4 linked regions of the Tamandua tetradactyla genome follow. The protein of the gene in region 3 purifies or fractionates together with the protein of the main gene of each other region. This does not show direct contact. Links are inferred from orthologs where the notes say so. Each region holds a gene or a part of one and is shown on either strand. Other genes may lie near its edges.

Evidence for each region.
Region 1: the proteins of NRP1 (region 3) and BCS1L purify together in Homo sapiens (affinity purification with mass spectrometry; 3 studies listed by BioGRID and IntAct, counting the BioPlex papers as one, with this or other methods). This does not show direct contact. The link is inferred for Tamandua tetradactyla from reciprocal best matches to the Homo sapiens genes NRP1 and BCS1L.
Region 2: the proteins of NRP1 (region 3) and PLXNA1 purify together in Homo sapiens (affinity purification with western blotting; 4 studies listed by BioGRID). This does not show direct contact. The link is inferred for Tamandua tetradactyla from reciprocal best matches to the Homo sapiens genes NRP1 and PLXNA1.
Region 4: the proteins of NRP1 (region 3) and KDR purify together in Homo sapiens (affinity purification with western blotting; 7 studies listed by BioGRID and IntAct, with this or other methods). This does not show direct contact. The link is inferred for Tamandua tetradactyla from reciprocal best matches to the Homo sapiens genes NRP1 and KDR.

The regions. Positions count from the first base shown.
Region 1 is NC_135329.1:194,195,370-194,202,302, forward strand, and holds the start of BCS1L (mitochondrial chaperone BCS1), read left to right. Parts: upstream 1-3,914; 5' UTR 3,915-4,052; exon of another isoform or gene 4,053-4,053; intron 4,054-5,205; 5' UTR 5,206-5,253; coding exon 5,254-5,573; intron 5,574-5,664; coding exon 5,665-5,804; intron 5,805-5,993; coding exon 5,994-6,188; intron 6,189-6,435; coding exon 6,436-6,499; intron 6,500-6,731; coding exon 6,732-6,901; intron 6,902-6,933. Other genes in the region: ZNF142 (zinc finger protein 142), read right to left, coding at 1,391-1,673. UniProt on the Homo sapiens protein: Chaperone necessary for the incorporation of Rieske iron-sulfur protein UQCRFS1 into the mitochondrial respiratory chain complex III.
Region 2 is NC_135335.1:29,437,735-29,444,693, forward strand, and holds the start of PLXNA1 (plexin-A1), read left to right. Parts: upstream 1-3,945; 5' UTR 3,946-3,958; coding exon 3,959-5,185; intron 5,186-6,959. UniProt on the Homo sapiens protein: Coreceptor for SEMA3A, SEMA3C, SEMA3F and SEMA6D. Necessary for signaling by class 3 semaphorins and subsequent remodeling of the cytoskeleton. Plays a role in axon guidance, invasive growth and cell migration.
Region 3 is NC_135327.1:217,832,354-217,839,238, reverse strand, and holds the start of NRP1 (neuropilin-1), read right to left. Parts: upstream 3,006-6,885; 5' UTR 2,709-3,005; coding exon 2,642-2,708; intron 1-2,641. UniProt on the Homo sapiens protein: Cell-surface receptor involved in the development of the cardiovascular system, in angiogenesis, in the formation of certain neuronal circuits and in organogenesis outside the nervous system. Mediates the chemorepulsant activity of semaphorins.
Region 4 is NC_135345.1:55,464,964-55,472,755, reverse strand, and holds the start of KDR (vascular endothelial growth factor receptor 2), read left to right. Parts: upstream 1-4,791; 5' UTR 4,792-5,075; coding exon 5,076-5,142; intron 5,143-6,289; exon of another isoform or gene 6,290-6,309; intron 6,310-6,914; exon of another isoform or gene 6,915-6,933; intron 6,934-7,792. UniProt on the Homo sapiens protein: Tyrosine-protein kinase that acts as a cell-surface receptor for VEGFA, VEGFC and VEGFD. Plays an essential role in the regulation of angiogenesis, vascular development, vascular permeability, and embryonic hematopoiesis.

The sequences.
Region 1 (6,933 bases), on a different chromosome or scaffold from region 3:
TATTCTTCCAGGCCTTTTCCTACGCAAACACATACTCCATGCATACCTCTATATAGAGTATTAGTTTTAAAAATATTTTAAAAGGTTGAGGGGGTGGTGGCGAGGTTGAACACTATTGCCTTTGTTTTTAATTCACTTGCTATATGTCAAAGACATTTTTATATACAAGTATATTTAAATCTACCTCCTATGTTTTTGCCCAGTTCATGGTATTTCAGAGCATGAATAAATCATAATAAAATTCTGCCGTTATTGAGAGACATTTGGACTGTCTCCAATCATTACAAATAAAGCTGCCCTACACATCCTTATTCCTGTATCCTTGTGCATATATGTTCTTCTATTGGACAGATTCCTAGAAGTGGAATTACTGTGTCAGAATATGCATATTTTATAACTGGATAAATAGCTAAACTTATCTTCAAAGAATTACACTAATTCATACTCTCCACAAGCACTGTAAGATACTGTCTATTTCCTATATCCTCACCAACATTAGGTATTACAGTTTGTGTGTCGGTGAGATTATGCATCCTTTTATTTGGTTACTGATCATTTTTATTTCTTCTTTTTTTGTGAACTGCATGCACATTTCTTTTTTCCATATTTTTACTGCTTTCTTTTTCTTATTGTGGAGCTATTTGAATCTTAAAGATTAATTATTTCTTGTATAGTGTAATTATTTTTCTCAGTATTTTTCTCTTGTGGTTTCTTTTACCACAGGGAAGTTTAGAAATATTATATGACCAAATTAGCTAATCTTTCCCAATATTTTTGTCACTACACTACACTACCAAGGGAAGTGGTGACAACTGTAGTTGGAGGATGGCAGTTAAAAAACCAGGAAGTTTCTAAAAAAATAAGCAGTTGGAGACATGGGAAGAATAAAGAGACTCTTTCCCCTAAAATAAATATAAATGCTCAACTTCCACTCTTAAAATATGTCTTGGATGACTGAACTATGTTATGTACAAGAAACTAGGGTGGGTAAATACCAGATTACCTCTAGGAAGCCCTGTCAAGCTCCAAGTGGTAGAGAGAGGCTGGGTCTTTTGCCTAATCCCTGGCTGCAGTTCCTGGGTGGGAGAGTCAATTTAGGGAAAAGAATCCCCAAGGACTATAAGAGTAAGGACAAGCCTGAACTGGGCAGAGGTAGCAGATATGAAGCCCTATCCCGAGCTCTTGAAGGAAAAAGATTGCCAGAGCTTGGTTCAAGGTTGTGTACTTCACCAGCATTCAATCAACATTCAACAACTGCAAACCAAATTACAACATCTTGAAGTATAAAAATAGGATACTACTACGTGTTTGCATCATATTTATACAGAAAATAGCACAGAGAGAACCTCAGGGCTGCTTGTCCCACTGGCTCGCTAGCAATTGTTTGTACCTGGGGTGTCTCCAGGAGTACCTGGGGACAGGTTTCCAGCTACTGCTTCCACGATGATCTCCATGTTTCCTGTGCCCTCTTCAGTTGTTGTGGCCTCTACCAGCAGGCAGCCTGGGTTAGCAGGTAGAGGTGTGAGGTTCTCAGAAGGGCAGGGGTTCTGCATGGGCCCCTCCAGGACTCCATGGTTAGGGAGAGGTGGGGGGATCAGCAACAGCTCAGGGCACAGACCTTCCATCTCCTTAGTGATTTTGGGTGGCTGTGAGTCCAACACGGGGTCTGTCATCACCACCAATTTGGGTGCTGCAGCCTCTTAAGTGCTGATAAGCTAGTTAGAAGAAAATCAAAACAAAATATAGTTAGAGCTCTCATTTTCTTCCCTGCTGTGGGTGCCCAGCCCCATCTCTGTCCATTTAGGTATTTTCCTACATGTAGTATGCTGTACCTTAATAACCTAAAGAGAGATTTTTTTTTTAATAATAATGTTTTTTAAAAAAAGCATAAAAATGTTTATAAACAGAGCCAATATTAGGAGAGAACCAACAAATTCTGGCCAATATATTAAAGACTGCAGGTTTTGTTTCATGCTTTGGTAATATTAGCTAAGTGACCCTGGACAAATTATTAAGCAATTTGGTTCTCAATATTCTCATCTGGGCAGGGTCAAAGGATCTCAGAGGCACCTTTTCCTCTAACATTTTATGATCTTAGCATGGCTATAAGGCTCTTCATGATCTGGCCCCTGCTGACCTTTCCAGACTCATCTTCTACCTCTTCCTTCACCCGATTTCTCAACCAGCCATATAAGAAGATCTGCCATTGTGTAGTAACACCACATTTTCTTTTGCAACACCCTTGTCCGTACTTTCCTCTAGGCCTGATGTAAAATTTCCCCTTCTCCATTTCTCTCATCTGCCTAACCAACACCAAATTATCCTTTAAGAATTTACACAAACATCATTTTCACTATGGAAGTTTCCCGACACTTTTAACCTAAATTTCTCTCTTCCATGGTCCTAGTGGCACTTTGTGCACAGTAGCCATATGAGAGACCATGACACACAGAGCTGTTGTTTACCTACTATTCTCCCTTCTAGATTCTGAGTGGAGCTTATTAACCTTATCACTTCACTGAACACAAACCTTCAACAATCTATGCAATTCAGACAAATAAAGGGATTCTAGTGAAGAACTGTATACACTGAGATGCGTTGGAACAGAGCTAGGTATCCTGGTAACCAGATGGTTCCTCACATAGAAAGTAATATATATGGAGAAATGTCAAGCTCATTGACTACACTATGATCTCAAATTGAACTGGAACACATCCGAGCAATGAATGACTGTTAAATTGCATATCCTGTTATACATGGGTAAAATGAGTTTAAGCTGAGTAATTAGCAACTAATAAGAATAAAATCATTCCATGAAATCAAGTCATGGAAGGTCTATAAAGGCCAAAGGCTAGAGAGAAATTAGGCTGCTGGTGGAAAGCAATATGCATAAAAAAGAAACCAAGATCCTACGATATGATATTCCTTGTTGTCCAGAATCTTGCCACTCAAAATTTCGATTTTCAGAAGGTGGAGGAGAAGTGCACTTTTATGGTCAGAAGGATTCTCTGGAAACCGCAGCCTCCACTTACTGAACATAATCTCTGCTCTAGAGAAGCCTCCAGCTCCGCCTTACATGGCCTCAGCGAGGAGCCGGTGCAGTTTACACTAAGAACCTTTATTTACTAGAAAGCGGGGTGAGGTGGATACGAGAGAAGAGACAAGCTTATTTGGGGGTTATGGGCATTACGGAAAGGTTAAATTAAGGCAAAAGGAAGAACTGGTGACCAAGGTACCCGTGTTCTCATCTGCCTCGGACTCTGACTCATCGTATGACCTTGGACAGTTACAGTCACCTACCTCGCTTTTCCGAGCCTCAGTTTTTCCATCTGTAAAATGGAGGCGATGCCAGCGCCTACATAGTTCGACGGTAGCGGGAATCACAAGAGCCGGCGAATGGGAAAGGTCTTTGGTAATCTGCAAGGCTTGGGGAGGCGCATCGTCATGATTACGGTCCTTTGGGGGCAGCGGGCATCCGGGCGAGAACCAGAGCAATGACGCGGCTGAGGCGCTGGGGAGGCTGGGTGTCATGTGGCAGAACCCCGCTCGTCGGCATGCTCATTCAACACCTACTCCCGGAGACCCCCACCGCCCAGGCCCACTCTCACCTCGAGCTCGAGAAACTTTTGCCGCTAGCAGGGTCCACCCGCACCCCCTCCCAGCGGCCGCCCGGCAGTCACTCACCTCCCGGCCCAGGGCCGGCGGGAGTCGCATCTCTATGGTCAACCCGCGGCTGGAGCGGTCTCCCGGGGCGCCCTTTGTGCGACCGCCTTCGGCCCAGCCGCCTCTAAGAAATTTGGCGGATTGAGGCCGCTCTCTCTTCTTGTGGGCGGCTGGCGGGGTAGTCTATGGTTTTCTCTATAGTTCCTCCCTCCTCCCACCGGAGGCCGTGCAAAAAAACCCAAGGACTACCATCGAGAATTGTGGGGCAGAGCGGCAGGGCCTTCTCGATGGGTGTGGCGGGAAGTAGATGCGAGAGCTCGGGGTTGGTTCCTTGTGGAGCCCCCAAAGAGCGGAGGGGCAGCGAGAGGAAGGGCCAGAGAGTCATGGCGGTAAGGGGGTGGGGTGATGGGTTATTCTAAACCACGTTGCTGGAGGCGTGAGTTGGTTTGTGGACGAGGTTCGGGAGCTGGTTACTGGGCGTCCGGCCTGAACCTGGGGTGGGGAGGTTTTGTCTCCGGCCTTCTATGTATAATTTTGGATCCCGGCTCTGAACTCTAGCTGAGGTCACGGCTGTCATTTCACCGCCCTGCGTGTAGGGCAAAGTGGAGAGGATGAGGGTTATTAGAAACGCTTTGGCCCCTGCGCTTTGGGATTTTACAGTCTAGAATTCGACCCGGTCACGTTTTATTGTAGGATTCTGGAAAGGTTCCATGGAAGAGTTAGCAGATGGGCAGGATTTCAATTGGCCAAATGGAGGGAATAAAGGAGAACGGGCATTCGAACCGAGAGAATTGCGTGGGCAAGGAGGTGGGAGGTTGTTTGCATATTTGTTGAACTGGGTGCATTCATGCTAAGTTAGGAAAGGTAGGTGGGTGTCGTGTTGTGGGGAATCTTAAGTTCCAGGCTGAGGAGTTTGTACATAATTCAGTGGTCTGTTGGACGTGTTAGAGCAGGGAAGTGATAGGATTGGTGAAGAAAGGTCTGATCCCGTGTGTAGCAATTTGGTTAAACAGGAGGTGGAGACCCTTCAAGAGGCCATTTCCAAGTGGGAAATAATACATCTAAACAGAGCAGGTCATTAAGAATTGAGTATGAAAAGGGGAGGATATTTGAAAGGCATTACTCACTGTAACAAGGCATAGGATAACAAGGGAAGAGAGTAACTCCTTTACCCCTCACTGACTCCAGCCAGTAGGAGTCTATCTCAGCTTTCTATCTCAGCTGGTCCCAGGTACCATGAAAAGTCTATCCACCTATAATCCTGATGTCAAGCCATTTACATTGCTTCCTCGAGTTTAAGGACTCTCCAAACACTATCCTGTGGCAGGAAACAGGTATGAGCAGGCTAATGATATAAGGGGCCCGGAGTCTTAGTTCTCTAGCCCTTGCCCCTACCCCAAAAAGGGATGATATTGAAACACAGTAGTGCTGACCTGTCCTTCCTGTTCCCAGCCTCTGTAGGAGGGAATGGGTAGGTATATGGAGTCTAGGTTCTAAACTAATCTTGTACTTTGTCTCATTTCCATTGCCACCCACCTCCAGGTTTTGATAAGGCCTCAGGACCTGTAAGACTGGTGTTTCCTTTTCAGGATGTCCTTCTCAGACTTTATTCTGGCCCTGAAAGACAACCCCTATTTTGGGGCTGGATTTGGGCTGGTGGGTGTGGGCACAGCTCTGGCCCTGGCCCGGAAGGGTGCCCAGCTGGGCCTGGTGGCATTCCGACGCCATTACATGATCACATTGGAAGTCCCTGCTCGAGACAGGAGCTATGCTTGGTTGCTTAGCTGGCTCACCCGCCACAGTACCCGTACTCAGCACCTCAGTGTGGAGACTTCGTACCTTCAGCATGAGAGTGGCCGCATCTCCACCAAGTTTGAGTTTGTCCCTAGTCCTGGAAACCACTTTATCTGGTAAGATTGGGAGCCAGGGAGGGCTCTGTGAGTAGAAAATGAGAATGGGTTTGACCCATTCATGCACCCCATTTTGGCCCTTCTTATTTAGGTATCAGGGAAAATGGATCCGGGTGGTACGAAGTCGAGAAATGCAGATGATAGACCTGCAGACCGGGACTCCTTGGGAATCTGTCACTTTCACAGCCCTGGGCACTGACCGCAAGGTTTTCTTCAGTATCCTGGAGGAAGGTATGAGATGGCACAGGCAGGTTTTATTGTGGAGAAGGGGATGTTACAGGGGTCAGGAAATTTGACATGAGAGGAAGCACAGCCTTGGAGAGGAGCCAGAGGGAAACTGTGTAGGCCCAACTTTATGCCTAGTTGAAAAACCAGTCATAGCAAAGAATTATTGACCTTGGCTCATCTATCCCCTTCTAGCTCGAGAGCTAGCTTTGCAGCAAGAGGAAGGGAAGACAGTGATGTACACAGCCATGGGCTCTGAATGGCGCCCCTTCGGCTATCCACGTCGCCGGCGGCCGCTAAACTCTGTGGTTCTCGGACAGGGTCTGGCTGACCGAATTGTCAAAGATATCCGGGAATTCATTGATAACCCCAAATGGTATATTGACAGAGGTGAGAAGCAGCTGAGGTCTTGGCACTTTTGGGCATGTTGTGCGGGAGCGAACAGGCTGGACTTTGTGGCCTGATGGAATAAGTATAAAGCTCTAGTCTGACTTTTGAAGATGACTGCAGGGATGATTTCTTCCAATACCAAGGTCATCAGGCCTCTGGGGGGCAGGACTGAGAATGAAAATGGGTATCTGGGGCAATGTGCATGATTGATTTTAGGTCTTGATTATCATCCTGAGTGTATTCCTAGGCATTCCCTACAGACGTGGCTACCTGCTTTATGGGCCCCCTGGATGTGGAAAGAGCAGTTTTATGTGAGTAGAGTCAAGTCTTTGGAGAAAAACTGGGTTAAGGATGGGAAGGGAAATAAATCAGGGGACCAGGATTCAGGATAAACATTAGATCTGTGAGCATCAGGGTGGGATGGTGGGGAAGACCTCTGAGAAACACTTCCCAGGACAGTTAGGAGAGAGCAGCAGGGCCCAAGGAAAAATTCTCAGGTTGCCTACCACCCTGTTGTCCCACCCCTCACCTCCACCCCCACAGCACTGCCCTGGCTGGGGAGTTGGAGCACAGCATCTGCCTGCTGAGTCTCACAGACTCCAGTCTCTCTGATGACCGGCTCAACCACCTGTTAAGCGTGGCCCCACAGCAGAGCCTAGTGCTTCTGGAGGACGTGGATGCGGCTTTTCTTAGTCGAGACTTAGCTGTGGAGAGTAAGTGAGGGATGCTGGGAGAAGGGGAATGT
Region 2 (6,959 bases), on a different chromosome or scaffold from region 3:
GCAGGTGAGGAGGCTGCCCATGGACAAAGGAACCAGCTTCTTTTGCTGGCACGGGGACCCTTGCATCCCCAGGTCATTGCCCATGGGTTTTGAGCCCTCTCTAGGGTCATGCCAGCAAGGCCCCCATGCCTAGAGCACAGTTAGACAACAGACCAGGACAAGAGGGGCCTCGAGGGCAGGCCTGAGTGGTGGGCATTCTTTCTGAGAAGCAGCAGTCGGAAGACCACCTCGCGGTCTCCTCGCTCATCCCATCCCATCTCCTGGTACACTAATACAGAACCAAGTGGGCAGGCCCCTCGGGGTTCTTGTGGGTACATCTGGGCAGCATGGTGGTATTTTCCCTGTCCCCCCCCTTCCTGAGCCTGTCTGGGCTCCAGAAAGGTCCAGACCCAGAGATATGGGGATTGGGCCTCTCCCTCAGTGAAGGGGGCGCGGGGGGTCTTTGTTTCTCAGTGAGGGTGAGAAGGAGCGCTGGTGCAGTCAGCCAGGGCCGGGGGGGAGGAAAAGGGGACACTGCTGTCTCCATGCTCTGCCGGACGCCTGAGCCTGCTGTCTCTGGGAGTGGAATCCTCTGTGCCCAGGGCCCCCCATCTCTGCTTTTATCCTGGCTAACCACTAAATCAGCACAGCCAGCACCGGCTCAGCTTCTCCCTGGTCTGGCTCTGCCTCCTGGACTTCCGGCACCTGCCCCACCGGCCATGCTGGGAAGCTGCCCGCGTTCTCACGCCTCCCTCTCCATGGATCCATCTGTCCTCTGGACCTTCCCTTGTGCCGATCTGCTACCCAGGCTGCCCGCCCCCCCCCCCCCCCCCCCGCCAGCATCTCACAGCCCTTCCAGAACAGGTTGGGAGAGGGCGCCCCCTCCCCTGGGGGAGCCAACCTGCCCAGACCCCAGAATGGCCACCTCGGTTCTCTCCCGAGCCTCCAAGCATCTATTGGTGCACCCTGCCTCCAGTCCCCAGCCCTCAGCACTCAGGCCTAGCTGTAGGATAAATGCATTTGAGCTGAGGTGCTTTGTGCCTGGGCAGAGGCCTGAGATAGAGGGTGGGACAGTGGTGAGTCCCCACGGGCTGACTGGGTCTCTGGAGAAGCACAGGATCTGGTCCTGCTGGGCCAGGGCCAGCTAGGTGTCTGGGGGTCTGTCTGAGCCCTGAGTCCTGCATCTCGAAGGTAAGGGATTGACTTCAGGGTCTTTACTGGTAGGCATCGTGGGCCCAGCCCTTTCCTGCCCAGCAGCCCCTTGCACTTGGGCAGACCCTTCCAGCAGCCTCTGTTGGAGCAGGTGGCCCTGGGACCAGGCCCTGGTTCGGTTGGAGGCTTCTTAGCCGGGTCCCTCCTGTTGAACATAAAGCGTGGGGCCCGTAATTGCATTAAGACGGGTATAATTATCTCGGAGGAGGGAAGAGCCCAGCCCCTGGTAATTGCAGGCCTGCTCTGAACTGATAAACGGTGAGTGATTCATGTTTTCTTGGGAGTTCACATACTCTCGGCGCTTACCCCCAGCCGTGCTGCCTCTACCAGGCGCCTTCACCCCGGCTCCTCACTCTGTGTTCTCTGCCTGTTTGAGCTGGGATGGCCCGGGACTCCTCTCCTTCTGTCTGTCTGCCCGTGGAGGTCCCTGGACAGCTGCTGCTCTTGGGGAGCTGTGTGGGTGGAGGGCCCTAAGGGGGTTCCCGGCCACTGTCCCAAGCTTCCCTGGCCTTAGTCTCCCACCTGGGCAGTGGGCCCATCCCAGGGTGTATGCCAGGCCAAGGGTGTGTGCAGTACAGACAAAGTGAGGGGACAGGCCTGCTTTGCCCAGCCCTGACTGACCACCCAATTACCCCTTCCTTCAACGAGTATTTATCCAGCCATACTGCATCTTGAGCTTGGCTTTGGGGATACAGTGGCAGATGCATAGAACCGGGCCCTTCTCTGCTGGGACTTCCCTTCTAGAGCAGGTGCATGGGCTGGGGTGGGGGAGGAGCAAGGAGGAGTGGGCAGAGCGTTCCAGGTCGAGGGACAGTACCTGCAAAGACCCTGATGTGGAACGGGCTTGGCAGGTTGCAGGGACAGGAGGGATGGCACGGTGGTCCTGGATGGGAGCAGGAGCATCCCATCCTGTAGGTGCAGACACAAGGCTCAGTTCAGAGACCGCCGGGCCTTGTCTAGTGACCCAGAGCAGGAAGTCCAGAATGCTCAGGCCAGGCCTGGGCTTGAGTGTGTGTCACGGCAGCTGGCTGCCTGGACTTGCAGAAGGGCTGTCTTTGAGACCTCAGTTTCCCCACTTGTACCATGGACCACTGGGTTGGCTAAGGGATGCTGTTTGAGGACAGGAAGGGAGCAGTTGCGGCTAGGCATTGGAGCCAGGGGTAGGGGTGCTGCCCCAGCACACGGGGTCAGAGCCAGGGTGGGCACAGACCCCTGCTGGCTCCACGTGGATGTGACAGCTCCTCATGAGCCAGGAAAGGGGGTGTCTCCGCCAGGGCTAGAGTGAGTCTAGTTTTACTCTGAGTTTCTGGCTCCAGAGTCTGACTGCCAGTTGCTGGGCCAGGCGGGCAGTGGGGGGTGCTGCATGGCATGGGTGATGGTGATTGACGGGGTTGGGGGGAGGGACAAAGCTTTAGGGGGGGGTTAGACCATTTAGCACAGATTTAGGAGGGAACCCCATGGGCACCCTGGTAGTAAGTTAAACCTGGGAAGTGAGGGTGATGGAGCTGTGGGCCCAGGGGGAGGTGGGCAGGGAGCCGGGCAGCAGGTGGGGCACGTTTCTGTGCCAGGAAGGATGGGCACATACTTGGGCATGGGGTCTGACATAGGGGGAGGGGCCGCTGCTGTGGGGACATTTTGTTTCATTTTTTAAGCATTGCAGTAACAAATGCAACATAACATATCCCGTTTTAACCACCCCTTTCCCTTTTAACAAATTCCTTCTTCCTCAGAGCAGGAAGGCCAGTGGCGAGCTTGAAGGGATGGAAAGAGCTGAGAACCTAAGTGGGGGGGGGGGGGGGTTCCAGGGGTGGAAGTTGCAGTGTGGCTTGGCATTTGCTTTGTCCCCTGGAGGGCAGGACTCGGGGCTGGCCAGCAGGGGGCCACAGGGCCAGAGCCATGGAGGCTGACCCGGAGTGCATCCTGCCCGCCCTGTGGGGCACCACGGTGGGGCCAGGGCCCGGGAGCCCTCATTTTCAATGAGGGACTGGGGCCTGCGCTGTAGGGCTGGGGTGGAGGGTGCCCAGTCCCCAGGGGATTGGGGGTGCCTGGCCTGTGGGGAGGCTCTGTGGGCAGGTGTGAGGGCTGGAGGTCGGGTCTGGGGAGGCGTGGAGGACAACAGGGATGCCTCATAGAGAAAAGGAAACCGAGGCACTGTTAGCCTCTGCCCCCCCCCATGCAGAAAGGGCCCCACTGGGGGCTGCAGGTGGGGCAGAGGCTCTGCCAGGCTGAGGGCTCATGCCTGGTGGGGGGGCCTGGGCCGACTGAGGCCCCACAGCATCGAGCTTCTACAGGGGACAGAGCGTGTCCCCAGCAGCCTTGGGCAGAGCAGTTATTCACCCCCCTCCCTGAGCCCAGGGGCCTCCCGAAAGGGCAGTAGAGGTGCCCAAATACGCTTCCTCCAGCAAGGCCTTGAGTCAGGGCTGACGGACCAGACCCTCTTTACCGCCTCCTGCCCCCCTGTGCCTGACAAGTGCTTCCGCGAGCCGTGGCCAGGCAGGCATCCTGCTTACGTCGTCCCGGCGGGGGACCTGCCCACTGGCGAGCCCATCCCGGGGGACCCTCCTCCAAGCCTCAGGACCCACCTGTGAGGGGGGGCAGCAGTCACCAATCTCGGAGGACTCTGGACAGCACATGGCTACTGAGAGCTCGTGAGGGCCCCCTTATGCTCCTAGCCAGCCAGGCGGTGTGTGTGGGCCCTCCCCCCACATCCCCCTCCCCCCAGCTCACCCTCTCCTTGTGTCCCCCCAGGGCTGAGGCTCCCGGCCCCATGATGCACATCCCCGCGAGACCCACGCGCCTCAGCCCGCGGACCCAGCCTGCCATGCCGCTGCTGCAGCCGCCGCTGCTGGTGCTGCTGTTGCTTTTGGGGGGCAGCCCTCGGGTGGGCGCAGGCAGGCCGGGCGGGGGCGCACAGCCCTCCCCCCGCACCTTCGCGGCCAGTGACTGGGGCCTCACGCACCTGGTGGTCCACGAGCAGACGGGCGAGGTCTACGTGGGCGCCGTGAACCGCATCTACAAGCTGTCGGGGAACCTGACGCTGCTGCGGGCCCACGTGACGGGCCCCGTGGAAGACAACGAGAAGTGCTACCCGCCGCCCAGTGTGCAGTCCTGCCCCCACGGCCTGGGCAGCACCGACAACGTCAACAAGCTGCTGCTGCTGGACTATGCCGCCAACCGCCTGCTGGCCTGCGGCAGCGCCTCCCAGGGCATCTGCCAGTTCCTGCGGCTCGACGACCTGTTCAAGTTGGGCGAGCCGCACCACCGCAAAGAGCACTACCTGTCGAGCGTGCGCGAGGCTGGCAGCATGGCAGGCGTGCTTATCGCCGGGCCCCCGGGCCAGGCCCAGGCCAAGCTCTTCGTGGGCACGCCCATCGACGGCAAGTCCGAGTACTTCCCCACCCTGTCGAGCCGCCGGCTCATGGCCAACGAGGAGGACGCCGACATGTTCGGCTTTGTGTACCAGGACGAGTTCGTGTCGTCGCAGCTCAAGATCCCCTCGGACACGCTGTCCAAGTTCCCGGCCTTCGACATCTACTACGTGTACAGCTTCCGCAGCGAGCAGTTCGTGTACTACCTCACGCTGCAGCTGGACACGCAGCTGACCTCGCCCGACGCTGCCGGCGAGCACTTCTTCACCTCCAAGATTGTGCGGCTCTGCGTGGATGACCCCAAGTTCTACTCATACGTAGAGTTCCCCATCGGCTGCGAGCAGGGTGGCGTCGAGTACCGCCTGGTGCAGGACGCCTACCTGAGCCGGGCCGGCCGCGCTCTTGCGCACCAGCTGGGTCTGGCCGAGGACGAGGACGTGCTGTTCACCGTGTTCGCCCAGGGCCAGAAGAACCGCGTCAAGCCGCCCAAGGAGTCTGTGCTGTGCCTCTTCACCCTCAGGGCCATCAAGGAGAAGATCAAGGAGCGCATCCAGTCCTGCTACCGCGGAGAGGGCAAGCTCTCCCTGCCCTGGCTGCTCAACAAGGAGCTGGGCTGCATCAACTCGGTGAGTGGGGGTGCTGCCCCAGCCCCAGCCCCTCGGGCCCCACGCACCCCCGTCCTTGGCCGACACGCTCGGTGGCTGGGGAAATGGGGGTGCCGCCACTATGTCCGCCATCCCACAGAGAACCTGTGCCAGGCTCCGGAGCCTGCTCTCGGCCCAGACGCCGTCGTGCTTCCTTTACAAAAGGGGGCGCGGAGACCACCCACCTGGACAGTTCCCTTGGCTCCTTGGCCGGGGCAGCCGCTGAGTGGCTTGCCGACCCTGTTTGTCCCTTTAGCCAGGTGGTGGTGTCCCTAGGTCAGAGAGGAGGGCACGAAGCTCAGGGAGGAGAGGGCCACACGGCTGGTAGCGAGCACGCCAGCTGCCCTTTTGTCCAGGTTCTGCCCGTCACGTGCTATGTGGGCCTGGCCGTGGCATCCAGTGTACCTGGACCTCTCTTGGGTCCTTCCCCGTCTACCCAGGCTGGCCTGACGCACATGCAGTGCTCAGCAGGACACGATGGGGCCCGTGCCAGGCTCTGAGCACCCAGCACCCTGGGTGGTAGGAACCCCTGTTTCATCAGCAGACACCCTGAGGCGCAGAGAGTGGGCAGCTTGTTCAGGGCCGCACCGGACAGCTGGACTTGAACCCAGATATCCAGAGCCAGGCTTTCGGCTGCTCTGCTCGTCCCACCCCGGGCCTACCGGGTGGGCCCATCCCTGCCCTTCCTCAGTGTTCCCACCTGTGAATCAGGAACAAGGGAACGCTGGTTCATCTTCATGGGACAGCAGGGGTCCCTTTGGCCCTTCTTCCCTGGCGTCTCGCTCGTCCTTGTGTTGACCTTTCAAGAACGGTATTCTGTCACCAGGACAGATAGAGAAACTGAGGCTAGGAGGGTCATTGACAGGCCACGGTCTGCCGTGTGCTGTCAGGACCTGGCATCCTGTATATTCTGTGCTCCAGTCCTGCCTGGGGACTCTTCTCCCAGCTTGCTCCCATCCCTCACCTTCCCTCCTTTCTCCACGACTCTTTTCCCCTGCTCCAGAGCACTCTAGCCCCAGCCCTGGGGCCTCACCTCACTTGCCCCTTGCCCGTCTATCTCCTTACAGTCCCAGCCCTGGCAGGCCCAGGTCTCCCTTGAGGCACCTGCCTGCTACCCTGGTACCTGTCCCTGCCGTCCCTATTCCTGCCTGCTCCCTACCCAGCCTCTCATGCCCCTGTGCCCCAGCCCACTGCCCAGAGGAGCCCGAGCTGTGCCCTCTCCCACCTTCAGACTTGCCTTTGTCCCCCGCCCTCCTCCCTCCTTGCAATGTCCCCCTCCTGTGTCGCCCCCACCTCCCCTCCTCAGGAACTGTGTGCTATCGATCACCTATCTGCTTTCCTGTATCTAGTCACTTCCCTTGGCTGGATCCCTCCCTTTTGCCTTTTACAGGTGACTGGTTCTCTTCTGTCCTAAATGAACCCTCTTGCGCCCTGTCCCTGCCCCACTGGCGGCCTCCCCATCTCCTCTCCCAGTCTCTGTCTCTTCCTCCCACCCCAGACTCCCCTGGCCACTCCAGGCCACCCCTCTTCCATCCTGCCACCCACCTGGCCCAGCAGCCTGGTTAGCTGGTCTTTCCCTCCCTTGCCATCCCCCGGACTGTCTTCTTTGGGAGCTGAGAGCTGAACACTTTCCTTTTTCCCCCAAGGGCTGGGTCAGGGGGCACAGGGGGTCCACGAGCGAGGCCTGCCTCTGCCAGCACACTGGTCTGCTGAAGACTCGGGTTCTCTATCTGTCCAGTGGGACCCCTGAGAGTGT
Region 3 (6,885 bases):
CATTAATTCTAATTACCTTAAATTTTGAAAAAAAATTTTGCCACATTGAGGCCCGGGTGTCACATATGGCAAGCCACATTCTCACATCCTGGGAAAGGTGAGCCTACCAGTTTTGAGCTTTCATTTCGAGAAACCCAAAAAGCTAAAGCGATTCGCTGAGTGCCAAATAAACCCGGCTCTGGGCTGCTTTATTGTTCAGCATGGATTCTCATTGTCACTTTTTATGACGGATTTCCTACTGGAGAGCCTTAGTCTGCAATGCCGCCACATTTATTGATGCTTAATTTTGAGCAATAAAAAGTCAGTGCATAAACTATGTAAGAGGAACAGGTATGAAAATAGTGAAATATATAAGCCTATCAATCACAAAGTTTCAGTAATGGTATATATAGATTTTAATATTGCATCTAATAGATTCCCTGTGGAAAGTGAATGGCATTCTTTGCTCTCAGCGTGAATTTATAAATCTACAGAATTTTATTACAGGAAAACCAGGTCAAATGGAAATGAAAGATGAAGTGCACATCAAAAATGCATAAAGCTACATGCATTACAGAAATCATTTCCCATAAATCAAAAAGACACAATATAAATTATACTGTATTTTCTCAATTGCTGGAGGTTTCTGACTATGCTTCTTAGATCAGAGTAGTCTTATGCTGGTTTCCTTTGCCTTGGCTTTCAAAAGCTTGAGATTTGCCAAGAAGAAATGATGTTGCAACTGGAGTCCAGAATCTCAGCTAATGATCATACTGGACTCCGTTATGTGATCCTGTGGAGACTCTTGCATTATTTTAAAGGTGCAGAAAACTTGGAAAGTGCCCCTGTCTCATTAAGTCTCCTCCAGCTCTGTTCAAACATGGCAGTGTCTGGCATCTGTTAGAGGAGTGAAAGAAAACAGCGCTGCTTCTAGTCACTCAACAGAGTCACTTCAGAAGACATTTAGGTGGATTCAGTACCACACCAGAGCTCTTTAATCTGTGACTTCTGAGAAAGTGACAGTGTAATAAGATAATGTGGACGGCTAGACTCCCTGACTCTGTTAAATCTCTCTAACAGTTGATTAAGAAAGAACAATTTCTAATGACTCTGGACCATTAGTCCTAAATAAGGCTAATGAATTAATTTAGCAGACACTGGTACTAAGAGGAGGTGGACATGGCTTTCAGAGGTCTGCTGTGCAACAGTGGCATTTACCAGCTCTGGGTCCTCCAATCATAGCACCATAGCTATAAGCTAGTCAAGCTTGCTGGCAGAGCTAGGGTCTCCTCCCCCAGATTTCACTAAGAAAATTAAGAAATTGACATACATATGTATATAATTTATGGAATTCACAACTTGAAGTCTGAAAGCGTTTTCCATCAGGTTTCAAATGCATCTTGGGAACATCTTCCCTGCTGATTTATTCTCAGGAGTTGTGGAGGGCCGTGGGCGGGTTACACTGATTCCTAAAGCCTAATCATTTGAGCCCTTTGAGTTGGAGAGGAACATGATTTCGTTCCTTGCCAGAGCGTAGAAAGAGGCCAACTCAGGTTCATCAGCAAGGTAAACTCCACATTCACAGTTTGTACGTGTGTTCTATTTATTTCCAAGCGTGTCTTTTAGAACTCTCCTTAACTCTCCTTGGTAGCTGTTGAGGGAACGGCTTGCTTAAATGTAAAACCTCCAAAAACGTATTAGAGAGATTAACTTTCATCATAAAGATGTGATTAAAATTGCTCTTGGAGTGAATAAGAGACCACTTGTGGTCTCTTATTCGAACGGTATACAACAGTAAGTAGTGGATGTCCTTTTCTTCTAATTACTTTGCTTGAAATCTAAGCCAGATGAAAGTAAATATTTGCTCATTAGTTAATAATAATTGCTGAAGATTCACTGTAAAGATAATTTGATATCCCTTGCCTTCACTTACTCTACAGTGGAAGTCAAACATGCCTAACGGTCAGATCACATTATATAACACGTTATTTATGTTACATGGTACTGTTTATCCCCTCTCACAGTCTTTCATTTACTTAACAATGAGTGGCTTTAAAAGCAAAGTGGAAACTGCAAGTAGACTAAGGATTTTCACATCTCCGGGTGTCTTACATTGTATATATCAGATTCCTTTATTGACACTACGCAACTTTCATTCAAACTCCAGCTGGATTAGGGACGATTTACAAAGGCGTAGGAGGGGGCTCCTTAAACCTAGAAACCGGTATCTCCAGCAGGCACCAGGCAGAGGAAATAGTTCGGGGGAGCTGCAAGAGAACCAGGAAGTTCTCCTGGTAAAGTGTTCATTAACTTTCATCTGCCATCAGATTTTTGAAAGGGAGTCTCGTCTAATTGCCTTTGGGAGGAAACATTATTAAGATAATTGGTGTGCTGATCTGGGAAGGTTGGAGGCTCTGCCTTGTCACAGAGGTGGGAAAACCCCCACAAGCAAACAACCAACTTCGGGAGGGAGCCTGCGGGTTGGAAATCCTCCTGCCTCAAACAGACTGTTTATATTTCCTAATTTCTGCGCCGGGATAAAAGTTTCCTTCGCCCGGGGCAATGCCCGCTCGCCGTTGCTCCCAGCAGCGAAGCCCCGGCTGGAAGCGCGCGGGCGGACGGGGACGCGGCGCTGTCAGACGCGCCTCCGCCTGTCACTTACCGTTGCGAGAAGCGCCGGCCAGGGCGAAGGCAAGCGCGGCGCAGACCAGAGGCAGCCCCTTCTCCATTCTCCCTTCGCCGGACCCCCAGGCAGATGCGGGAGAACGAGAACGTGCGAGGAAAACCCAGCGAAGGGCGTGATCTAAAAAACCCAAAGTGCTCCAACTCCGCTTAGAACCGTAAAATCCTCCAGCCGGTCTTGGAGAAAGGAAAGCGGCGAGGCAATGCCTGCATCCGAGAGAAACGCTTCTCTTTTTGTGTCTCAAGTCGTCTGCATCCTGTCATTTAGCTCCGGTTTCCTCTCCCTTTTCCCACACTTGTTCCTCTTCCAGGAGCCACTGCTCGGGCCATGTCTCAAAAAAAAAAAAAAAAAAGTGGGGGCTGGGCGGGGGAGGAGGGAGGGAGGGAGGGAGGGAAACACAGCAAAGCCAATCTCCAGAAAGAAAAAAAAAAAATCCGGATTGTTTCTGGACCCGATGGAGCCGAGAAGCTGGCGCCCAGGGGAGGTCCGGAGTGTCTGCGGGAAGGAGAGGAGCAAGCAATGAAAAGATGAGCGGAGACGAAGGAGTTTCACCAACTGCACCCCCGCCTCCCCCACCTCCTTCCGTCCTCCCCTCCCCTTCTTGAGCCCTTCCCTCGCTTCCTCCCTCCCCTCTCCCCGCACTAGCTGGCCAGTAATTGCCTGACAGGAGACGGGGAGGAACAAGTTTGCCTCCGTGTGCTTTCCCCCTCCGTCTGTCTGTCTCTCTGGAAGCCCTGCAGAGCTCTCCAGGAGAAGGGAGGCGCTGGAGGCTCTGCGCCAAGGGCTCGTGTGCGTTTCGGGAGGGGGTGTCGAGGTCGGTGCCAAGGCCAGGGTAGGGTTAGCCTACCTCGGCGGGCCTAGCTCCTGAACCCCCGGGGTGAGAGCCGGGCCCGCTCCGGGGCGGCGAGGACCCCGGTGGCGGAGCAGTGGCGAGCGCCCGGGAGGTGGCGGCTGCCACTTGCAACTCGGAATCCCCGTGCAGGAGCCGGCGGCGGCGAGGAGCGCGGCTTCTCCGCGTCCAGCTGCCCACCTCGCGGGCCCCGAGACCTGTGGCCCGGAGCAGCCGGGCGCTCGCTGGACGCTCGGGCCCAGGGCTAGAGGGCACGGGGTGGACAACTCGGCTGGAGTGGGGAGACGCCCCCGCAAAGCCGAGCGAGGGGCGGTCTCGAAGGTGCCACGTAAAACCGAGGCAACGCGCCCGGGTATGCGAGGCCCGGCTGCTGTCCTCCCGACCTCGCGCCCCGGCACCAGGGTGCGCCGCCGGGTTCCAGTCGCTCCTGGGTGCCCGGGTGCCCTCCGCGAGCCGCCGGCCTCCATTGTTTCCCGAGATTTGGTGACCTCTTCTCTGGGACACCGGGGACACTGGAGGGTGAGAGGTGATGTGCCTTCCAGCTAGGGGGCAGCCGTCGCCCAACCCCGCCCAGCGCGTTGTCTCCGTGTCCAGGCGCTTGGTGGTTTGGAAATTAAGGGTCCAGTGGCCCCTGTTTCTCTGCATCCCGGGAAAGGTGGGACGTGGGAGTGGGGGGATAGGAAAGGGCGACTTTTGACAGGGCGCTCCCGGCTCCCGGCAACAGGCAATGGTACACGCAGGTCCTCTAGCTTCGTGCCCACCACTCCCTCCCCACCTTCCCCCCCTCCCACCGCGAAGGCGCGTCCTCACTACGGGTTGGAAGCTTCCCAGTTCCACCCCACCCCCACCCCACCCCCAACCCCCAGGGCTTTCAGAACTGCGGTCCGAGTGCGTCTGCGGATAGGAAAAGCAAGGACATTTCGGAGAAACAGGTTGCGGCCAGGGATCCGCCCTTTAGAGGGTGAATGCCAGCTGGCTCCCTCCCAAGGGGTTGGTGGGGGAAGGTGAAAAGGTCATTGTACCGTCTGGGAATTGGCGTTTATTTATACACCCCGAAATCAGAGCCTAATTCCTACCTGGTCCAAAGAGCTGGCAAAGAAGATTTAGGAATGTTTGGAAGGAGACTCTGGTCAGAGGTTTTGGCGGAAGAGCTTGGGGCGCGCTGGGAGAAAGGCAACCCCGGCTCTTTGGCCCCCGGCCAAGGGTTTCAAGCGGGGGGGGGGGGGTTACGGCGGGGCGCCCCGCCGCGCGCCCTCGAGGTGCAGGCGGACCCCTAGCCGGCTCTGATATGCGCCCCGCGGCTCTAGCACTGGTGGGTAACGCCGGGTGCTCGCCACTACGGGTCAAGATTCTTTTTTCACTCCGCCCACGGGACCCCAGCGGCAATTCTGCAGACGGAGCCCTCCCGGCGCCCCGAAGCAGCCCAGCGCCCAGGGCGCCTCCTTCCCCTGGCCAGTTGCCTTGTTCTCGACTTCCAGATCCCTGGGAGCGGGGATGAAGTGTGCGCTCCCAGGGAGGCATGGGGTGGGATGGTGGCACCCGACCGGGAGTCAAAAGCATGGTCCAGTGGAAGGGGCAGTGGCAGGACCCGAGAGCAACTGCGCCCCTGGGGCGGGCGTTGGGAGGAAAGGAGCGAGGAGAGGGAGGGAGGACGCGGCCAGGGGAGGAGGGGAGGGGGAGCGGCGAGCGACCGCGCCCAGCGCAGACCCCCCGGAGGGCGCGCTCGCGCGGAGGTAACCCTGGGCGCTGGGCTGCGACTGCAGCGCGTTGCCGCGTCCCCGCCTTCCTCTCGCCGCTAGGCTCAGCCAGCCAGTTCCCAGCTGATCAGGGTCAGCGTCAACAGATTTGGGGTGACCCCCAGCGACCTCAGTCCTAAGATCGCCGGGAGAGGCGGCTCGTAGGACCTGGCAGGCTGACAGAGAAGGGGAATTGGGCGGGTGCAGCAGCCGGGGCCGTCCCGGAATCACAGAGAATCGCCTTCTTCCGAACAGGACGCCGGTGGCCGAGCGCGCTCCGGGGAGTCTGTCCTGACAGTCTGAGCTTCGGCGGGGTGAGCGAGGGGGCACTCGCGGGACACTTGAGCTGTGTTGTTCTTTAGAAAACTGCCGCCAGTCTCTCTTCCCCTTTCCCTGCTGAGTGTGCATTTCCCAGCGTGGATTCGCCAGGCCAACAAATACAGCCACCGGTTCGTGCACTCTGGGAGAGACTGTCCCCCACCCCGACCTGTCCCCCTCTGGGCTCTGGCGACTGCAGCCCTGCGGGCTCCCTCCTGCCTTCCCACGGGGAGGCCCTTCCAGCGGGTCAGTGCACAGAAAACGTCGGTCTCCTTCCTTGCTCACCAGCTGAGCACTTTTGCTTTCTTCAACCACCTAATAAGGCAGCAGTATGCACACTGGGGAAAATACCATATTTAAGTACTGCCACTAATTTTCCTGGTCTTAGCTGATTCGAGGCTTTTCTAGACTCCTTGGTTTCCAACACAGTTCAGATAACAGAGCCTTACCACGCTGATTGACAATTGCGGGCTAGTGGATTGGTACAGAGTAAATTGTCCCTGCTAACAACCTCTTTCCTCTACTGTTACCTTCCACTAAGTGCAGAAAAGGGCCAGTTTTAGATTTCTGCAATTCTCCGGCAAGGGAGACAGACTAACCTTTATATAAGAATAAATGATAGGGGAAGAATTTGGCAGGGTTCCAAGGTTGATTTTATTTTGGTCTCACGGACACATCATTCTTCCCTGACACCACATATCCCCAGACTAGAGAGGACCCAGTTGCACTGAGAGGAAGATTCAGCCACCGCACGCCACGATGCAGTGCTGAGGCTCAGTCAGCAAAATCCAGCCCCATGGACTCCCACCCAGGAGCCGCTGCTGGGATAAGCTTCTAGGCTGGTGCAGCCTTAAGAATAGACTGGGTGGTAAATGCTTGGTTCCTTTCATCAAACTCTTATCGATTTGTCAGAAGTAAGATGAGATTCATTGCTCCCAGAAGGCCATTTGAGTCACTAACTTCCTCAAAGTATTCCAGGTTGATGCAATATGGAGATTCAAGTTGTTATTTCGGAATTGTCAGATCTATCTTAGCTAAGTTTTTTAGAGTTATCAAACCCATATATTTCAGAAGAGCGGTAAAACAATACATGTTTAGTAGGATCTACTCTATGTTTGAGACGTAAGAATGGAAGAAGGGAAACTGGAAAAAGATCCAAAATTGGAATTTAAATTAATTAAATAATAATTTTAAATAACTCTGTTAAAAATGGCACCTATGTCAAATGTCTCTATCATGCAGGAGGTATCTTTTGTATCTCACTAATTGGAATTTAAATTAATTAAATTAATAAAATAATAATTTAAAATAACTATTAA
Region 4 (7,792 bases), on a different chromosome or scaffold from region 3:
TTTTCTTTTTATTTCTTTTTCTGAATTGATGAAAATGTTCTAAGAAATGATCATGGTGATGGATACACAACTATGTGATGATGTTGTGAATTATTGATTATATACCAAGAGTGGAATAATCATATGGTAAGAATGTTCATGTTTGTATGTTGTTATTTTTTAAAAAAAGAATTAAGTGAGCAATGAAATAAAGCATTTAAAACAGTAACTGCTCAAAGGATGTGCTCAATAAACGTTGGCTGTTTTTATTATTTTCTGGCATCCTTCTCTAGTACTATATGGATTTGCAGCCAATTATTTAAATTTCCTGCATACTTCACACATTTTTAAATTGTTATTCTTTTTTTTTTTTGTATGCTGTATGACGGGGTCACATTTCATTCTTTTTCCATGTGAGTATCCTGTTATTGCAGCACCATTTGTTGAACTTTCATTTGTTTTCTTTTGTTTGTTGCTTACTTGTTTGCTTGTTTTGCAGAAGTGCATGGGCTGGGAATCGAACCCAGGTCTCCTGCATGGCAGGTAAAAATTCTACCACTGAACTACCCCTATGCTTATTTTTTATCTCCAAGTATGATTATTTCTACTTGGATTGTTATATTTATTTTTACGTGAAACACCTCAAGAAATTATGTGAAGGAATTTGGATAGGGAATATATGCATACATATTAATAGTAATTGAGATTTTGATGTTTCACAAAAATGGGGAGTTTCTTTTACAATTATTAGAACGTAAGACTTTATGAAGAAAACCTAATACCAATGAAAACATCCAAGGCAAGCATGGCTTTGTGATGACATGGTCATCTTTTTCATTAACATAAGAATATGTTCTAAGTAAAAAATGTAAGTTACACAGGGACTGAAATAAACTTGGGTGTTTAGAGACAGTAGACAACAAGAGATAAAGAATAGGTTCCTAATCTCTGAAGGCACATAGTCATGAGCATGGATGGGCTATGAAACTGAGTTGACATCTGCAAAGGTGGTTTAAGGCTCTGGGAAGTTATAAAATAAACAAATGTTGGGAATAAATGAAGTACACATGAGAAAATTTCATGCAAATATATAATCAATAAATGACGATATTTGAAAATAATGTCACTAAAAAAGAGTTGGTCTTATTGATATTTTTTTATTTGTAAAAATAATACATTCCTGCTTGAAAAATGTCATAGAAATGCAAGAAGTAAAAAGTTCAAATTCCCATCTATCTACCTCTTTGCATCAACCATTTCCCAGAGATAGGCATTTGTTGGGTGTGTATCCTACTAGCTATTGTCTACAAATTTTCTATTATGAATGTATATCTATGTATCTCATCTCTATTTGTAAATCTATTTCTAGATCTGTATTTTATGCCAAAGAAAGATAGGAAACACTTTGAACACCTGATATCCATTGTGGTGAAAACAGTTTTCGGGTGATGGGCTGTGTATGGAGAACATAAATAAGCCAGATAATTACAGGCCTTGTAACAAGTTCTTCTAAGAGATTAAACATCTATTAATAAATCCTTATTATCACCACTACCATAGGTATAAAGTATTTTACAGTTTACAGAGCACTCGTATGAGATTATCTCATTTGATTCTCATAGTAATCCTTGAAGTGAGCAAAGTAAGAGTTATTATTTTCATTTACAAATGAGAAAACTGATGTCCAATGTAATGAAAGGATTTGCTTAATATCACTCCAAATCCATGTTTCACCATATCAAGTCTGGCACTGGAAAAGTCAGTGGTATTATATTAAATGCACCAAGCATCATTTTGATTATTGTTACTTAAAACAAGAATTTTTTTCTATCATAGAAACATGCAAAAGTAGAGGATAGTAAAATGAACCTTTATGTATCTATCATCCAGCTTTCACTATTATTAACCATTTGCCAATTTTCATATATATTTTTGAATATATGGAGTCTAATGTGCCGGTGATGGTCGTGGAACCACATTTGGGATATATGAGGTGTAATTTGTTCAGTGGGCTTTGGTGATATACACAATGTATTGTGTGCACAAATGCCTAGAAGTAGCTGGAGATACGCAGAACCTTGTTATCATATTAAATTTGCTTGGGCTGTTGTGATGCCTGCTCATTTATGCTCTTATCACCTTTGGTTTCACCATTGTAACCCCAGTTCCTGACACAGTGTTGTTGAATGAATGTGTTTTATTTGCAGTTTCAATTTAGACAGCATGAAGTGAAGAAGATCGTGTATAGTAGTATAACCAACCTCTGCAGAATGCTTCTTGGTGTGTTTCAGGTGCTAATTATAGCTACGATCTGTGCGTACCAGGTGCTAGGTCCTATTCTAAGTGCCTTCATGCAGTAACTCATCTGATTCTGACAAAAACCCTGTGAAGAAAAAACCATTATGATCTTTTATATTTTGTAGGTAAGTAACCAGTAATTTGGTCAAATCACATGGATAGGAAGTGGGAGATCTTGGAGTCAAAGTCCAGGCAGTGTGGCCCCAGGATCTGTGCACTTAGCCACCTCTGTTTGTTGCTCCTGTGCAATAACGTGTCTGAATATCATCTACGGGGCATTGAACACATTTGGGGTATTTGGTAGGTGGTGGTCCTACCTGTACTCCTGGATCAACTCACAAAATCACTCCTTTGCACTGGTGCCAGAGAATGGGAGAGGGTTGCACATGGAACAGAACTTTTAATTTATTTTAAACAGACTTTCTCATTTTTCATGAACACAAGGCACTTCTAAGTGCTGTGTAGGAGGGAATGTGGCAGAATGATTTCATTGAGACCCTGCCAATTTCTGGTCTTGCAACCATCAAAGACGCATCATTTCCTCAAAGACTTCTAAAGGGGGCTATTACCATGTGCCTGCAGGTTCTGGTTTGCATTTGGAGGAGACACTATCTTCCTAAGTGAGACATGGAAAAGGAAGTGTCACAAATTGTAAATAAGGTTAAGAGGCTGAGAGAGAACAATTGTTTGGACGTAAAGATGGAGAAAAATTTTCTCCAAACCAGGTACCATCTCTCTCTCTCTCTTGGCTGATTCTTTCAGAGTCCATCTTGTTTTACTTGCTAAATTTATTAGTGGGAAGAACGGAATTTTTTAAAGAATTTTCCCACAACTGCCCAAGCATGAAAACAAAATAAAAACCTCCTAGATAAATATTAGTACATCTATTCAATGTAACACCATTCCACCATTAAAAAGAATGAGATGCAGCTCTAAGGGTTAATAGAGAATGCTCTCCAAGGTATACTTTTATAAAGTGAAAACAGTCAAGGCTCAAAACAGCATTTGTACCAATGCTATCATTTATGGAAAAAAAAGGGTGATTAATCTACATATGTTCATATGTGCATAGAATTTGCTTGGAAAAAGGAAACCAGTTAAAAAGCTTGCCATTGGTGAAGGACGGTCTTTTCACTCTAAGCCTTTTTGTATTTTTCAAAATACTTTTAACCATATATACTAGTTATATTTCAAAAAAAGTTAAAATATTTCGATTGTCAACTTGGAAATAGAAGAGCAAGCAAATATTTTTAAAAAGTGGAAGAAAAGCAACATTTTAATTGTGTTTTTCAGGAGGAGGGTTTGGGACCAGATGTAGGGTCAAACAGTAATTCTACCTCTCCATCTCGCTGAAGGATGGTCCTTTCAGTTCCCATTCCTGGGAAGTAAGAGGCAGAGGGATTAGGGAGATCTTGATTTAATGAAGTTAGGGGGCATTTCATGTCACTCCCCAGGTGTGGGAAGAGATGGATAGAAAACAAGAAGGAACAATGAGGGCGGAAAAGAATGGTAGCTTCCCTCCAACCATCCAAGAAATGTACATCTGTGGTGAGAGTCGTGAGCTTTGTCCATGGAGTGTCCAGAGTACCTACCTAGCTAGGAACTTTCACTTAATTGCTCTCAGCAGAGGCTGGCCTGCTATACTTCCTTTCCCTCGGCCTCAGGGTATCTTGGCTTGGAAGTTCTCCTTTGAAAAGGGGCCTGGCCAAGGACCCAAGAAGAGTCACGCTGGGGACTGGCCGGTTAACAGGGTGGACAAAAGCCCTTTCTCAAGGAGAACCTTACGAGAGAGACGGGTGCCCCTCACGCCTTAGGTCCACCCAAGCTGGGTACCTCCACCTCCTGTGAGCCCTGATGTAGGTTTCTGGCCTGGAGCTAGGCAGGACCAAACGTGATGCTTGCAAGCTTAAATGCCTTCTGGGGCTCCGCAGTTAACTTCAAAATACTTGAAGTCGCCAGGTATAAGAGGAAATGGCAGGAACTTTTTGACTAGGAAAATGTATTTTCTGACTAACAGCATTCATATCCAGACTTTTAAACTGTGCAACTGTGCTGGCCAAACAAAATATTTCTAACTGGCTGGAGTCAGTGCCAGTTTGCGACCCCGGCTTAATATCCGCTTCTGGCTGCTTGCTCCAAACTGCGCTCAACCTCAGCTGGTCTCGCAGTTAGTTTAGAAGCGCGCTACAGCGCAAGGGTCTCGAACTTTGACGCTCGGAGCCGGTTACTGGCTTCATGTTACTTCCACCAGAAATGGAGTTGTCGCGCCCAGGACATTCTCTCCCGGGCGACTCGAGGTCTGCGTAGTCCTGTGCAGGTTGGGAGGGGAGCTGTAGTGGGCGTGGCGAGCCCGGGATCCCAGCGAGCGAGCCGGGGGAACACCAGATCCTGCGAGGTGAGGGGCGGGGCCGACAACAGAGGGGCGCCCCCCCCCAGATCCCGCCCTACCTGGCCCCGCCCCCCGCGCTCTAGAGTTTCGGCCCCAGCTCGCACCCGGCACTGAGTCCTAAGACACCGCAGAGCAGGCGGTGTTCTGCCGCTGCGTTCTCTCCACCTGCACAGGGCGTAACTGGCGTGCTGCAGAAAGCTCAGCCGGTCCCGCAGGCGGGATATTCTTTCCACCAGCTCCCGCACAGGTCTTGCCAGCCGCGCGGGGAGCCGGGGCATCCTCGCCGAGTGCGCTTCGGGGTCCTGCTCTGCGGCGCGCGTCCCGGCTCCGCGCTTTGGTGGCCGGGCAGGCCCCGGGCAAGAGAACCGACTCCCGAGTTCTGGGCACCGCGCTGGGCTCGAGGTGCAGGATGAAGAACAAGGCGCTGCTGACCATCGTGCTGTGTCTGTGCTTGGAGACCCGGGCTGTCCCCGTGGGTAAGGACCCCACTCCATGGGAGGGAGCCGAGAGGTCGGGTGCGGGTGGGTGGATGCGGATGCGGGGAGGATCTGGAGACCGATCTAAGTTTGAATCATAGAGCTGGAGAGTTGGGAGAAACTGACACATTTGTGCTGTTCCTTTTACCCAGCGGGGAGATAGACTCACAGACTGGCCCAAGATTGCCCAGCGAGGTGGTCTCCCGAGCTCTAGCGGTGTCTTTTCCAAGGCTCTGGTGTCTGACCGGGACCTCGGCTGGAGCGTGTACTGCGGGGCCGACGCACCCTCGGGCTCCTTGGCGGCGGGGCGGGAAGGCGCCAGGGGCTGACTGGCAGAAGTTACCCCGGCAGGCGGGAACACACAGTGAGAAGCTGTCCGACTGTGCGAACCGTTCTGGGGGGGACCCCGGCGGGCTTGCCAGTCCGGGAAGGAAGCCTTGCTAGGGGAGTAAGTCCTGCGGTACAGCTCACACAGTGCCCTCCGCTCTACCTCGGTGGGAGTGAAACGGGGCCACCGGCTGCCTGTTCCCTCTTCTCTCGGACAGGCACAGCCACTGTATGAGGTGGCGGGGTCCGGGAAGAGGGAAATTTTTACTCTCCATGGAGCAGGACGCCGCTCTTCTTGCAGAAAGGGGTGGGGTGTTGGGGTCTTGGTCCCGGACCCTGTCAGCTTCCCCAAGTGACTAAGCGACAACCCCCTTCCTAGGTAAAGCAGTGTTAACGTCTTTCTAAGCATTTTGGCTCCTAGGTAAGCGCAGGGTCTACCCTGTACCCAGATTTAGCGCCACTTAACATTGCGGTCCCCTTCTAGATTAGGAACCCATAACGTGCTGGATGCAATAGCTGTGTGTGTGTGTGTGTGTGTGTGTGTGTGTGTGTGTGTGTGTGTGTGCGCGCGCGCGCGCGCGCGCCCAGTTGATATTCTTTCTCCATAGCCACAGTTTACTGAGTCCCAGATTCTGTGTCTTGGAAGAGAAGGGGAGAGGGCGGAGAAAAGCAAAATCAGATGATCCAGGGACCCAACTCCTACAGAATGAATCATGTGCCCCTTATGTTGGGGTGACCACTGATGTACTTTCTTACCTCTTTTTTGAAAGGGAGAGAAAATTACTTTTAAGTGCCATCTTATACTTTGTATCAGCCAGTGCTGGAGAAATCGTGAATAACGTATGTACAAAACTTTTTTTTTTTTTTAATTTTCTATTATTTTGAAATTCTGCCTCTTTGGATTTGGGGAACACTGGCTACCCCATCTCTACAGTCTGGGCTGGCAGAATGCTGATGTTTTACAATTCTTTTCCCCACTCAGTTCCCCTCTTCTGGTGAGGTTCCTGTGAGCTCTGTTAGATGGGCATCCTGAAGCTTGTTAAAATGTACCCTCCGTTGGTGCGGTCTCTTTTGGGGGCAGATTGGGAGAAAGAGAAACCAATAATGCAACTGTTTTGATAGAAAAAATTGATAAAATGTCTTTTTGAAGTAAAGAACCAGTCCCTCTAAAAATAATAATAATAATAATTCAGGGGAAAAAATTCTTATAACGATAGAAAAAAAACACACTTAAAGAAGGCACGAGCTCAGTACTAAGATCATCTGTCCATGGTTATTGAATTTTCTTAATCGTGACTTACTTGGTTCTCCAAGCTTAGCTGTGTCACGGCCACTCATTTGTCCCTGACAAGGCCTCTCTCTCCCCCCTTATGGGAAGAGAATGAAGATCTGGAGCTTGTGGTTGGTCTGTAGCCCATAAAGAAGTGAGTTGCTTTTAAGCCTGGGGTGTTTCATAGCACAGCTGTAAGTAACTGCTGAATATAATGGTGGGGTTGCCCTTTTGGAGTGTGTGACTTACTTAATTGGATTGGGCTATAATTGGTGCCATCAAATTCTAGAGACAGAGGCACTGTTGTTTTTCCTTTCTGTCTCGAAGCTGGGGAGGGTAATAGTGCACAATTTAATTAATATGGGTTATGGGATTTGAACATAGAAGGGCTTTTTATTGAGCATATGTATCTCTTATAGCCATTTCTGTAGGATATTTTCTGAAGAATAGGACTCAAACTTGCCAAGGAAAAATGAATGAAAGTTAATGGAGCAAAGAAAAAGAAAAAACTTGAGTGTTGGTCTACAGATAAGAACTTGAAGTTATCATTATTGCTGGCCTTGTTGAATAGATTTTTGTTGTAGACAGGTCTCTAGAACAGTACAGTGTTGTCTTAACTTCTTATAGAAAAATGTCATGGAAAAGGTTTTTTCTCTCTCTTTTTAAATTTGTTTTCTTTTTTTTTTTGAATACTCTGGGGACTTTTTAAAAATTATTTTTGTATAGGAAGATGTGTCAAGAATGTGAGATGATCTGTGGCAATAATATATAAAAGATCTTCAAAATTCTCTTATTTTGATGGGGGGAAGGCTGTCATAGCTTATTTAGAGCCTTGATACTACTCCCATTTTATTCTCACACAAATGTGCCCAAATAATGAATTATTTCCTATTTGAATTATCATGTGAGTTGTATTCAGTTGTTGTTATTGACATTTTTCTCAAGCTCGCATTTCCCAGTCAAATTTGAAACTTTTGCTCATTCAGATGAAATGTTTTCATTTTCATTTTCTTTGGAAAATGGGCTCCCTTATTGGAAGGCTTTTTTTCTTTT